Rattus norvegicus: one gene and its partners. The protein of the gene in region 2 purifies or fractionates together with the protein of the main gene of each other region. This does not show direct contact. Links are inferred from orthologs where the notes say so. Each region holds a gene or a part of one and is shown on either strand. Other genes may lie near its edges. The genes, in order: Imp3, Mphosph10 and Imp4.

Region 1 (2,787 bases), on a different chromosome or scaffold from region 2:
CTGATTGTCCTGTAACTCCTTAATGTAGACCAGGCTGGCCTCAAACTCAAAGATCTGTCTGCTTTAACCTTCCAACTGCTGGGTTTAAGGCTGTGCCAACACTACCCACCCCTTTTGCTCGTTTGTTTGTTTTTTTTTTGTTTGTTTGTTTTTTTTAGTAACTCTGAAGCCAGGACCTTGAAGAACATCTGTTTTCAGGAACCTCCTGGGTCCCTTCTAACCACTAGCTGGCCAAACTACAGGGCGATCATTTCCTTAGGCAAGCAAACACTCCAAGACTTTAATATGGTATTTCCTGGGGCTGAAATATCAACAGGAAGTCTTGTGGATAAAAGCTCTGCCAAAACATTCATTCCGAGAAAAGGACTGGGTAAGTGACAAATCTGCCCAGCGTGTACAACATCCTGCAGCCTCCACGTGAGGCTGCAGAGTCTCACGTCTACAACCCTTTTCCTCCTCTTAGGCTCTTCAGCTAGCGAGATCAACAGATATGGTAAGACGAAGGACCAGACCAAAATGTGCATTTAAACAACGTGGTCGGGACATTTATTGGCATTAGGAAAGGATTTCTTTAAATGGTATAAATAAAATGAACTCAAACTCTCCATCTGTTCTATTTCACGATGATAAAGCAAAGAAGGGAAGAGGTAACATTCCTGCTTCTACACCACAGTTTAAGGTACAAGAAGCTAACAGTCCCCAGAGCAGTAAAAACTGCTTCCCACTGTCTCTCAAGACACAGTCAATTGTCAGTCCAAATTCTAAGAAAATTTCCCGGAACACAGAGGCGATTCTCCCCATCCCCGGTTCAGTGACCTGTAGCTGAGAAACCAGGACAAGACTCGCTAGGCATCAAGATCAAAGTCATCGCGCTCCTCATTGTACTCCAACACGTGCCGCTTGATCTTGGATGAGTCCACCCAGGTGACAAAGTCTTCCATGCTGCGAGTGACGAGAAAGGCGGGATCGGTGACCACGTCTGGGCCCACGCGGACGTGACCCTGCTCCACAAAAGCCACAGCAGCCTGGAGATGCTGTGCCATGCGTAGCTTGAGGAGCAAAGTAGGCAAGCGGCGGCGGCAAAAGGACGAGGCGGAGACGGAGTCGCAGAGTTCTAGTGAGCCGCGCGTGGGCACCAGGCCCAGAGCGTACAACTTGTCCAACAGCGCCGCCGAGGCGCGAACGCGAAACGGGTCGCGTTCCGGCAGGTCGCGCAGGCGCCGCGCCAGCTCGCGCACGGCCCGGCTCAGCTGGTTGTAGCGTGTGTACTCCTCGCGCCGCTGGAGCCCGTACCGTCGCAGTACGCGCAGCTCGTGAAGGTTATGGTCGGTGACTTCCCAGTTTAGGAAGTCCACCTGTTTCAGCAGCTTCTGCTCATGGAACTTAAGCTTCCGCACCATGATGGAGAAAGCCCGAGAAGCTGAGAGCACGTTGAGAACCCAACGTAATTTCCGCCACGACAAGGGAAGACCCCCGCCTCCATGCTCCTGGACCAATCAAAAGAAATATTGAAGACACGCCCCCGACTTTTCATTCGTCCAAATCTGGAACTTCCTGTTTTGAAAGGGGAGTGGGGAGAAAGACTTGCGGAAGGAGAGGCGTGTTGGGCAAAGACAGCTTTATTAGCAGTCCGGTAGACTTTCTCTAGTGTTGTGTTTTTTTTTGTTTTGTTTTGTTTTTAAGATTTATTCATTGACGTATTTTATGTATGTGAGTGCTCGGTCTTCATGCACACCAAAAGAGAGCTTCAGATCCCATGTTTGTGAACCATCATGGGATTCCTCAGGACCTTTGAAAAAACAGTCAATTATTCTTTTTTTTTTTTTTTTTTTTTTTTTATTTTTTTTACAGTCAATTATTCTTAATGAGCCATCTTGGCAGCCCCTAGTCTGTCAGATTTCTGTCTTTGATGACCAAAGACAGTCTGCCCCCTCAATAGATGCAGATGTCAGTTCCCAGAGTGAGGAGTTATCGTCTTTAAAAGAATTGTCTCATATTTTTGGTTGTGAGCCAAACTTTTAATGGCTGAGCTATCTCTCGAACCCTGGAAAGATGGTTCAGCAATTAAGAGCACTGGCTGCTCTTCCAGAGGTCATTGAGTTCAGTTCCCATTACCCAGATGGTGGATCACAACCATCTATAATAAGATCCGATGCCCTCTTCTGGCATGCTCATGTACATGCAGCTAGAGCACTGATAAAAGAAATCTTTAAAAAAAAAAAAGAAAGAAAGAAAGAAAGAAAAAAAAAAGGGTACACAAAGTTAGAAAAGTAGAATGCTAATAAATTTTTAAAAAGAGGAGAGTATTGTCTCTGCCAAGAACGCGGTTAGAACTCTGCAAACGTCTCAGTTCCAGTGGTTCCTAGAGTTGAGGAATAGTTCCATCCCAGCCAGCATCAGGTCTGTCACTGGACTGGCAGAGGGATTCTTCTTGCCAAGTAATACTGAGCAATACCAAACAAATAATCAGAATTGGAAGCAGCTGTGCCTTTTACTTTTTTTGACACAGTTTCCTTAGGTAGCCCAGGTCAGCCACAAATTCACCACAATCCAACCAGCTTCGATCCAAATTAATGAGATTACAAGTGAGCATGAGCCACCTTGGCCATCATTTTATTTTATTTTATTTTATTTTATTTTATTTTATTTTATTTTATTTTTTATTGAGACAGGATGTCTTAGCACTAGTTGTCCTGGTAACTTTTATATAGACCAGACTGGCCTCAAACTCAAAGAGATCCATTTACCTCTGCCTCCCAAATGCTGGAGTTAAAGTGTTGCTCAGGT
Region 2 (4,183 bases):
TTGGCTTGTGGCTCATGATTTTGCCTTGGGGCCTTGTTTGTTAGGGCAGACAGGGAATTTTGTGATTGGCTGGAAAGGCTGGAGGGTTCCACAAAAACCAAATTCAGTTTGAGAGCAGACTTTGAAAGATGACTAGTTTCAATAGAGGAGCAGACAGAACTTTCCAGGCTAATGGATTTGTCGCAAATGTAACAGGAACTCTGGAATGATACTGCCTTACACTTTCTTTCAAGTTGAAAATCTCAGACGGAGGGCAGTAACTGCCACCATGCAGAAAGGGAAGAAAATGGAAGAGAAAGTGAGACAGGCAGAAAAGTTGGGCATTTGTCACCAAGATTCTGCTTCTTGATTAATGAGATGGAGGTCGAAAGAACTCAAGGAACTTACAAATCCTTCTGCTTGCTCCTTTCCTGCTCATGTCAGATGAAAAAATTGAGTGTGGTACGTGTATAAAACTGGCTTGGACTGAGACTTTCAGGACTTGCCACTTTGCCCTTTTCTCCTATCTCTTAGAGGAGGCATTTAATAACTCGAGTCTCCTCCAGCTTTATTGCAAGTCCTGCCTTGCCTGTGTTCTTAGGCAGATTACCTGTCTGGTCCATGTTTGCCAAGGGCAACCCTTGAGCACAGAGAAGGACAATAAGGAACTCCCGTGCTAAAAGGAGCGCAGCTCCAGGAGCCCAACACTTCAGACCCAGGCCTTGGCCTCCCGCAGCCTCCCGTGCCCCGCACCCGGCGCCCCTGATGGTGCCCGGTATTCACCTGTAGCGCCTGCAGCCAACGCAGCGGCCTTCACTACCAGCCTCATCTCCTGAAGCTACAAGCTTGCACAGCGACCCCGGGCAAAGACAACTAGGAGAGTGGGCAGGGGGCGGGGCCTGAGGTGGGCGTGGAAAACAGGACAAGGGTGGGGCTCGAAGGCAGTGCCCCAATACCCTTTAGAGAGCTAGACGGCTGAAGGGGGTTGGGGATGGGGGCGGAAAGAGAGCAAGGGGCGGGGCCTGGGGCCTGGGGCGGGGTAACAAGACTCGGAGCTTGACTGACGGCTACAGAGGGTGGGAAAAACGGGGCAGTGGCGGACGCCGCATAGGGTGACCTTCTTTTCCGTTACATTAAAATACTTATTGTATCGAATGCAAAAGCAGAAAGCGACCACGCGACACCACTGCGGTTCTCTTAGAAATACAAAACATTTGGAGAAAGAGCCAAGACGCTTGAGATGACCAATAGCCCTTTTCGGTGGTCGGCTCCACCCCTACGCATGCCCAATAGAAGCGTTTGCTGCTAGGGGCCGGAACCTGTGTGTGGCGGAACCTTAGGCTCTGAGCTGCAGGTTGCTTGAGGCAAGTGTTTGCGGTACGACTTCCGGCCGGTTCCCAGCCCTCGTGTGGCGCCGTAGTGTATAGCTATGGCGCCCCGCGTGTTTCGTCGACAGACCCTTGAACGGTGTCTGAGGGAAGTCAGAAAAGCCACCAACCGACCCGAGTGTTTCCTCACGTAAGTGCAGATCCAACTCTGGCAGAGAGCGACCCGCATCACATCGGTGCTAGGCGGGCCGGCATCCGTCAACTTCTGAAAGCCAGGAAGTGAAGTACAGGTCGCTCAGTCCCAACTTCAGTTTTTTAACAGTAAAAGCGGTTCAGTGTAGATTTCCTAGTTGTGCACTATTGAACTAAGTGCAGTTAATTCGCGTCCAGAGAAGCGTATTGCGTGCGGAATACGCTTTCTGAATTTGTGTCCCCCAAATACACACCGCTTACCTGTCATTGAGCTTTATTGAAAGTACGTACTTGTTGCTTTTCAGTGTATTTTCACAACTGAGCTTGCAGAGACCCAAGCAGTAGAGGAAGCTCGGAGAAGCCTGTGGAAGGGGGGTGGGGAATGACTGTAGGAGGCATAGGGGTCCAGGACACCACAAGAACACGGCCCACCTAATCAACTAATCAGGGTTTATGGAGGGCCCCACAGAGACTTTATTGGCTATCACGGAACCTGCGTTGATCCTCTGCATATATGTTGTGGTTGTTTAGCTTGGGGTTTTTGTGGAACTCCTAACAGTGGAATAGCGGCGTTTCTGATTCTTTCACTCTTGGGGCCCTTTTACCCCTCTGGGTTGCCTTGTCTAACCTTGATATGAGAGATTGTGTTCGGTTGAAGCCTACTTTTTTTGAAGGGAAACCGAGGAGCAGTGTGGATCTGGGGGAGGTGGGGAGGGAGAAGAGGCTGCAATTAGAATGTTTTGTATGAAAGAATAAAAACAAATTAGGAGAGACTTCTTTCTTCCCAGCATTTTGATTAAGTTCTGTAAAATTATGACTCTGACTTATATTGAAAATTTTAGCAATAGCATCACATCATTGTGTCCAAAATAGAGCTCCCCTCCCCTCCCCTCCTGTATTCTCCTCTCCCCTAAAGTCATTTCCCCGTTTCTATTACCTTAGCTTACTTTTACTGCCCCACTAAATGGCAGTTCTATCATTTCATTTATTCAGATTCAACTAGTCTACTTCCTTGATGCTTTCCTTTTTGCCGTACTTTCTCCAACCCTTTAGCATCCTCAGAATCCTATCTACAATATATTTAGACACTGATTCCTAATTGTCATACTTCTGCCGTGTCTCTGACATAAAAATCCTTTGCATCAGCTTTCTAACAACCTTTAACATTCTTTCTCTCTCCAAATTGTAAATCATCATCACATATTACACTTTTAAGTGACAAATTCCTATCTCAGAACCCAGTTTCTATAACCTCAGCCACCCACTGTGCCTCCTCAGCCACACTACAGCTGTCTTGGTCTTTCTGTTCTTCGCATTGTCTGAACTCATCTCTCTGCTTCTAAATATTTCTTATAACCAGAATATGTGTTTCCACATCTGTACTAGACACTGTTTTTTCTGGAGGCCTCAATTTGTAGATCCCATTTCGGTTATCATATCCTTAGAGAATTTTCCTCAAACTTAAAGCCAAGTGGCAATCACTTGCCAAATGACTAATAATTGCAGAATGTGTGTAATGCAGGTTTGAGGATTTAAGGCTGACTTCAGAGGAGTAGTGATCCAGCCTTTAATATACAGAGCAAAATCAGATAACTGCGGTCGGACTCATCAGCAAGATACTGTTGGGAACAGGAATCTGTACTTAAAACTGATGTCCATTTACATTTTAATTTGTAAATAAGTTACGGCTTTTATTTCTTCTTTTATTTAAGAATGCTTGATGTTATTGTGTATAATTCATCTCACTTAATCTCCTTTCCTAATAGGATTCAAAATGGACTAGCATCAAACCTCACTTCATTAACAAAAGTTCTGTATGATTTTAATAAAATATTAGAGCATGGCCGGATCTCCGGAAGTCCTTTGCAGAAACTTGAGATAAAGAGTTTTGATGATGAGCAGATTTGGCAACAACTAGAACTGCAGAATGAACCAGTCTTACAGTACTTCCAGGATGCGGTTAGTGAGGCGGTTGAGGATGAAGATCTCAGCCTTCTCCCAGAGTGTGAGGATGAGGAGTGTGAAGAGGATGCCTCAGAGGTGGAGGCTGACAACCAGGAGAACGTGGAGACAGACTTGGAGGATGAACCACTGTCAGACGAGGGCGGCCATGTTCCTAAAGGGGGTGACAGAGCCAAAAGCTCAAGGAAACCTGACCCGAGGAAAAGTCCTGCTTTCAGCGATGAGGACTCTGACCTTGACTTTGATATTAGCAAGTTGGAGCAGCAGACCAAGATGCAGATCAAACCACCTAGAAAACCAAGGGAAAAGTCTGTAGTAGATGATAAGTTCTTCAAACTGTCCGAAATGGAGAGCTTTTTAGAAAAAGTGGAAAAAGAAGAGGAAAAAACACCTGATGGTGAAGAGGAGGAAGAGGAAGACATTGACCTTTTTGAAGACATTGATTCAGATGAAAATGAGGGAGGGCTATTTGGGAAGCAAAAGATTAAGGTAAGGTTTTGGGAGAAGAAACTGTTTCTTTAAAGTACAAGTCATGTTTTCCTAAGGAGAAATTTAATGTGCCTCGAACTTATTTGACCCCAAGTGACGTATGGAAAAAGGAGCAAACGTGAAGAATCGGACTAAGAGCTGAGCCAGTAGTGCAGGAGTCTAGTAAGCCTCAGGAGTGGGAGGCTGAGGCAAGAAGATGTCTCCTCAAAACCAGCCTGGGCTACATTTGCTTT
Region 3 (4,385 bases), on a different chromosome or scaffold from region 2:
ACAAGATCACAGACTGACTTTGCCCATTTTACCTAAATGTGATGAAAGACCCTGAAATGTCCCCAATCTGTTTCAGGAATGATGCACTGGATTTAGAAGTTTATTTCCAAGGAACCCCTAGATATAGGGATATGCATTTTCTGTTCAGCTGAGCTCCTTTGACTGCAAAATAGACCCCACTATAAAACAGCCTACCTATAACTTCTTCTTTAAGGATTAAAGTACCAAAACAAACTCCATTTTGTTTTTCAGACTCCATTTTAAGCTAACTTGACCTCAGAGTGACTTGGTCTCTAACCTTGAGTTCTGAAAAAACAAACAAACAAACAAACAAAACCAACCAAACAAACAAACCAAAAAGAAAACCCAAGATATTCTTGGCAGTTGCAAAACGGACATAACAGCTGTGGCCAGTCGGTAATGACAGGGCGGGCTAAGAAAATAGGAATCGTTCCCAGGTCAAGATGCTCCTTCTAGAACGTGTAGTCCCTTCTTGTGGTTTGACCAGATGCTGTGAACCAATCAGCTTAAACACCAACATCCCTTAACCCTCTTACCTAATCATGTAACATCAAGGCTTGGAATAAACCCCATTCCCTTAGACCTCCTCGGGTCGCTCTCCTATCCTGTTACTTTGAACCCTACACTAGCAAAGTATAAAGAAAAAAACGTCTTCCTTAGACATTCAACTCTCCAGCTCAGGCGCTCTCCATTAATGAAGTAACTTCCTTAAATGTTCAATGAGTTTTGCCTTTAGCATAGAGTAAGGGCTGACAGGAGGAAAGGAAACTCACATGCTTCGCTAGGCCCCACTTCCTCGGGGATCTGGGCGTTAGCTTTGATCACTCTGAAGGTCTGGGGTCCATCCTGGGCCTCGCTGAAAGAGAAGGGAAGATGAACTCTGGCCGCGCAGGCCTAGGTCCTGCCCGCCCACTCTATATGGGGGTGAGGTGGTGGGAAGGGAAACGAGGGCGGGGGGGGGGGGGAACGGTGAGGGGGGAACCTCACCTGGCGCGCACGCAGACCTGAGGCTCCATACGCGAGGCATACTGCAGGGGCCCTACCGACTTGGCTCCCATGGCATAGCGAGCCTTGGCAAGTGAAAGCCAACCCTGGGGAGACAGGAGGACTTGAGACTGTTTCGCTCCCTGTGCTCGCTTTTCTATCCCTCCCTCCATTCCCCATGGCCCACCTCCTCCACCCGGGCGTTCAGTGCGGCCCTCTTCGCCTCCAGTTCCTCCAGGTCACTAAGCAGCTGTAGGCACTTTGAGTCCAATTCCTCTCGCAGGGCCTGGACCTCCATGGTCCAGGTAGTCTTGGGACGCGGAGGGGCAGAGCCACTTCCTTCCGAGCCCTCTAATCACTGTGAGCCCATGTGCATGTCAGCCAATCAACGCTCGAGATCCGCCCTTAGGAGGCGTTCCTAATCGTGGCCCGGAAGTCAAAGGTTTCAACTTCCGGGTGACCCGTGTCAACGGCCTGCATGAGGGTTAGCTTCTGGAACGGAACATTTCTCGAATCAGATGGCTATGAAAAGTCGAGTCCAGGAAGCCATCCACGCAGTTGCCACTCTTACTTTTTCTTAGCCTACTGCCTGACTGGCTCAAGCGTTGGTGAAGCCACGGACGGACTTATTTATCAGGGCGGCCTTAGGCCACATGACATCCCAAATTCGGGTAATTGATTGGTTGTCGGTCTGACCAATCACCTTGCGACGCCATTCGCCATTTTAAGATGGGGCAAGCTGCACGGCAGTGGAATTGAGTGAAGCCCCTAAAGGCCTTCCTAGTTGAGGGCGGAAGTGTCGCTGCGAGGTTCCGTCAGCGACCGAATAGTCCGGACTCGTGAGAGAGCGACGCTCATCATGGTAGGATGGTTTGAGTTCGTGTTCTGGTTTAGGGGGAAAGAAGTGGGGTACGGGAGGGCTGAGTTGTGGTCCTCGGTGCTCCGGAGTGGATGGTGACCCTATGTATTCTCTAGCTTCGTCGGGAGGCTCGCCTACGCCGCGAGTACTTGTACCGTAAGGCCCGGGAGGAGGCGCAGCGATCCGTTCAGGAGAAGAAGGAGCGAGTCAAGCGTGCTCTAGAAGGTAAGGCCTCCCTGTGCTCTTGGGTTTACAAGTCCTTGCTAGAGCATGCTGCACAGAAGTGTAAACGCGTTTGAACTTCTTGTATTTATATTAGTGCGGCTGAGCGTCTTTCCTTTCTTTGCCTGTTAGTTAGGACTTCTCACTGGTTTCTGAATGGACCCACCATGTGATGGCATGGCCGTTTATGCTGCAGTCGCCCATGTTTACAGATTGATTGCTAGTTACAGAATATCAAGTTTTTCTTTAGTTTTAAGACTTTTGCCTCAGTGGGCTCGTGGCGGCGCACGGCTTCAATCCCAGACCTCCGGAAGCAGACAGGCCAACCTCTGTGAATTCCAAGACAGCCAGAGCTAAAACAGAATCCCTGTCTCGAAAAACTAAAAAGCAAAACAAGCAAGAAACCTTTGTCTCGTCTTATTGATTCCCATATCTAGGGATGGGTCTACAAGAATCCTTGGTATTTGTTCTTGCTGTCTTCTTTCAAAACAGAAAAATCTGTTGATTGTTATAATTGTCTTGCATTTTAAAACTCTTATTCCATTTAAAATTTGCCATTTGCTTTGCAAGTTAGCTTAAAACTTTGCCTTTCGTTAATCCACATTTTCATTTGCCCTATTAAATAAAGGCCCTATATGACAGAGCTTAAGTGGAAATGTTCTATTTATCCCTATTTTGGCTTTGAATCCAAGGAGCTTTGAGTCTCCCGTCTGGTAGTACATCGTCCCTGGTACTGGTGACCAAATTCTGTTCCTATGTTTTAGTAATATAGAGTATATGTGTGTTATGTAAAGTTTGTTTGAGTAAAACTTAATGTTAGGGCTAGAATTGTACCTCGGCTTGAGTGCTTGCCTAGCACGAAGGAGGTTCTGGATTCTGTCCCCAGCCTAACTAAACTGGGCCTAGGGGCCTATGCCTATAGTGGAACACTGGTAAGGTGGAGGTTAGAGGTTCAAGGATTGCTTTGGCTGTAGAGTTCCAGATCAGCCTGGGCTGATACAGAAGATGTTAAGCGTCTGTGACTCATCATCATAATTTAAAAGTGGAAAAGAAGAGTGGAGATGACTGGAAGAAATTTCTCAAGGGTTAAGAGCACTTACTGTTCTTTGAGAGGATCCAAATTCATTCTCACTACCCATATAGAGTGACTCACAACTGTCTGTAATCCCAGCTCCAAGGGATCCAGTGTCCTCTGGCCTTAGCAGCTCCTGACACATGTGCGTGTAACTCAGTCAGACACACACATATACAGAAAGATGATGAGTATATTAACATTTATAACTATCACTATGTCCAATGCTACATTAAAAGCAACTGTTTTAAGCTATTATTTGTGTTTACATTATGCTTACTTATATCTCTAAGTTATGATGTTTGAGTTACAGGCCTAAGGATGTATATTAGAGTATGTGTTTGGCTGCTGTGCCTGTTGGGTTTGGGGGCTCAGTATCGTTTCTAAGATGCAGAAGGTATGGTCGGACTTAAATTCTTGTAAGTATCCTGTGACAGATAAGAGCTTTTCTTCAATTGGTAGCTAGAAGGAGTGCAGCTGCTCTGACTCTTCCCTGCTTCGCTCACATGCTAGAGAAGCAGATCTGGGCCTCAGCCCTGGCTGTCCCACTGTAGTCCACAGAAAGAATCTCTGGCTCACAGCCAGCTGCGGCCATGCACCTTGAGGTATTCTGTACATCCAGACAGCAGTGTTCTCTTTTTTTTATATTGTTGTTAATTGTTCTTTGAGGCAGGGTCTCGCTATGTAGAGTTGTGTGGCCTCACTATGCGGACTAGACTGTCCTCAAACTAAGAGATCCCCTGACTTTGCCTCCCGAGTGCTGGGACCAAAGGCGTGCAGAGGACCTTAGTATGCAATGTGAAGACCTGAAAGTCACGGTCTCCCTTCCTACTTAAGAAGCAGTTTCTTTCTTTTTTAAGTATGACTACTCCGATCGCATGTTCACCTGAATGCCAGAAGAAGATATCAGATCCCTTTATAAATCAGGGTCTTAACCTGCAAGCAAACTGCCCACCAGTACATTATCAAAGTTTCTTTAAATTTTTGTCTGGTTATAAAAATATTGATGATGATATGAAGAAGTATTTAGAAAGTGAGCTCCCCAGTGACGTTATAGTTGACAATTAGATGAAAAGAAGTTGGTAGCTAAGTGTGGTGCCATACCCTGTTATCGACACACTCAGAAGCCAAAGCAACAGGCTTCTCAAGACCATGTCTCCAATGAAATAATTAAAGTAGTTGGTTTGTTCCTTCTGTATTTCTGTACTGACTCTTTTGAGAATGTTA

Evidence for each region.
Region 1: the proteins of Mphosph10 (region 2) and Imp3 purify together in Homo sapiens (affinity purification with mass spectrometry; 4 studies listed by BioGRID and IntAct, with this or other methods). This does not show direct contact. The link is inferred for Rattus norvegicus from reciprocal best matches to the Homo sapiens genes MPHOSPH10 and IMP3.
Region 3: the proteins of Mphosph10 (region 2) and Imp4 purify together in Homo sapiens (affinity purification with mass spectrometry; 3 studies listed by BioGRID and IntAct, with this or other methods). This does not show direct contact. The link is inferred for Rattus norvegicus from reciprocal best matches to the Homo sapiens genes MPHOSPH10 and IMP4.

Annotation. Positions count from the first base shown.
Region 1 is NC_086026.1:66,234,120-66,236,906, reverse strand, and holds Imp3 (U3 small nucleolar ribonucleoprotein protein IMP3), read right to left. Parts: upstream 1,410-2,787; 5' UTR 1,401-1,409; coding exon 846-1,400; 3' UTR 521-845; downstream 1-520. UniProt on the Homo sapiens protein: Component of the 60-80S U3 small nucleolar ribonucleoprotein (U3 snoRNP). Required for the early cleavages during pre-18S ribosomal RNA processing. Part of the small subunit (SSU) processome, first precursor of the small eukaryotic ribosomal subunit.
Region 2 is NC_086019.1:127,373,108-127,377,290, reverse strand, and holds the start of Mphosph10 (U3 small nucleolar ribonucleoprotein protein MPP10), read left to right. Parts: upstream 1-1,364; 5' UTR 1,365-1,408; coding exon 1,409-1,497; intron 1,498-3,265; coding exon 3,266-3,950; intron 3,951-4,183. Other genes in the region: Mcee (methylmalonyl-CoA epimerase, mitochondrial), read right to left, coding at 763-808. UniProt on the Homo sapiens protein: Component of the 60-80S U3 small nucleolar ribonucleoprotein (U3 snoRNP). Required for the early cleavages during pre-18S ribosomal RNA processing. Part of the small subunit (SSU) processome, first precursor of the small eukaryotic ribosomal subunit.
Region 3 is NC_086027.1:44,148,497-44,152,881, forward strand, and holds the start of Imp4 (U3 small nucleolar ribonucleoprotein protein IMP4), read left to right. Parts: upstream 1-1,532; 5' UTR 1,533-1,864; coding exon 1,865-1,867; intron 1,868-1,980; coding exon 1,981-2,089; intron 2,090-4,385. Other genes in the region: Ccdc115 (coiled-coil domain-containing protein 115), read right to left, coding at 795-877, 1,009-1,112, 1,193-1,303. UniProt on the Homo sapiens protein: Component of the 60-80S U3 small nucleolar ribonucleoprotein (U3 snoRNP). Required for the early cleavages during pre-18S ribosomal RNA processing. Part of the small subunit (SSU) processome, first precursor of the small eukaryotic ribosomal subunit.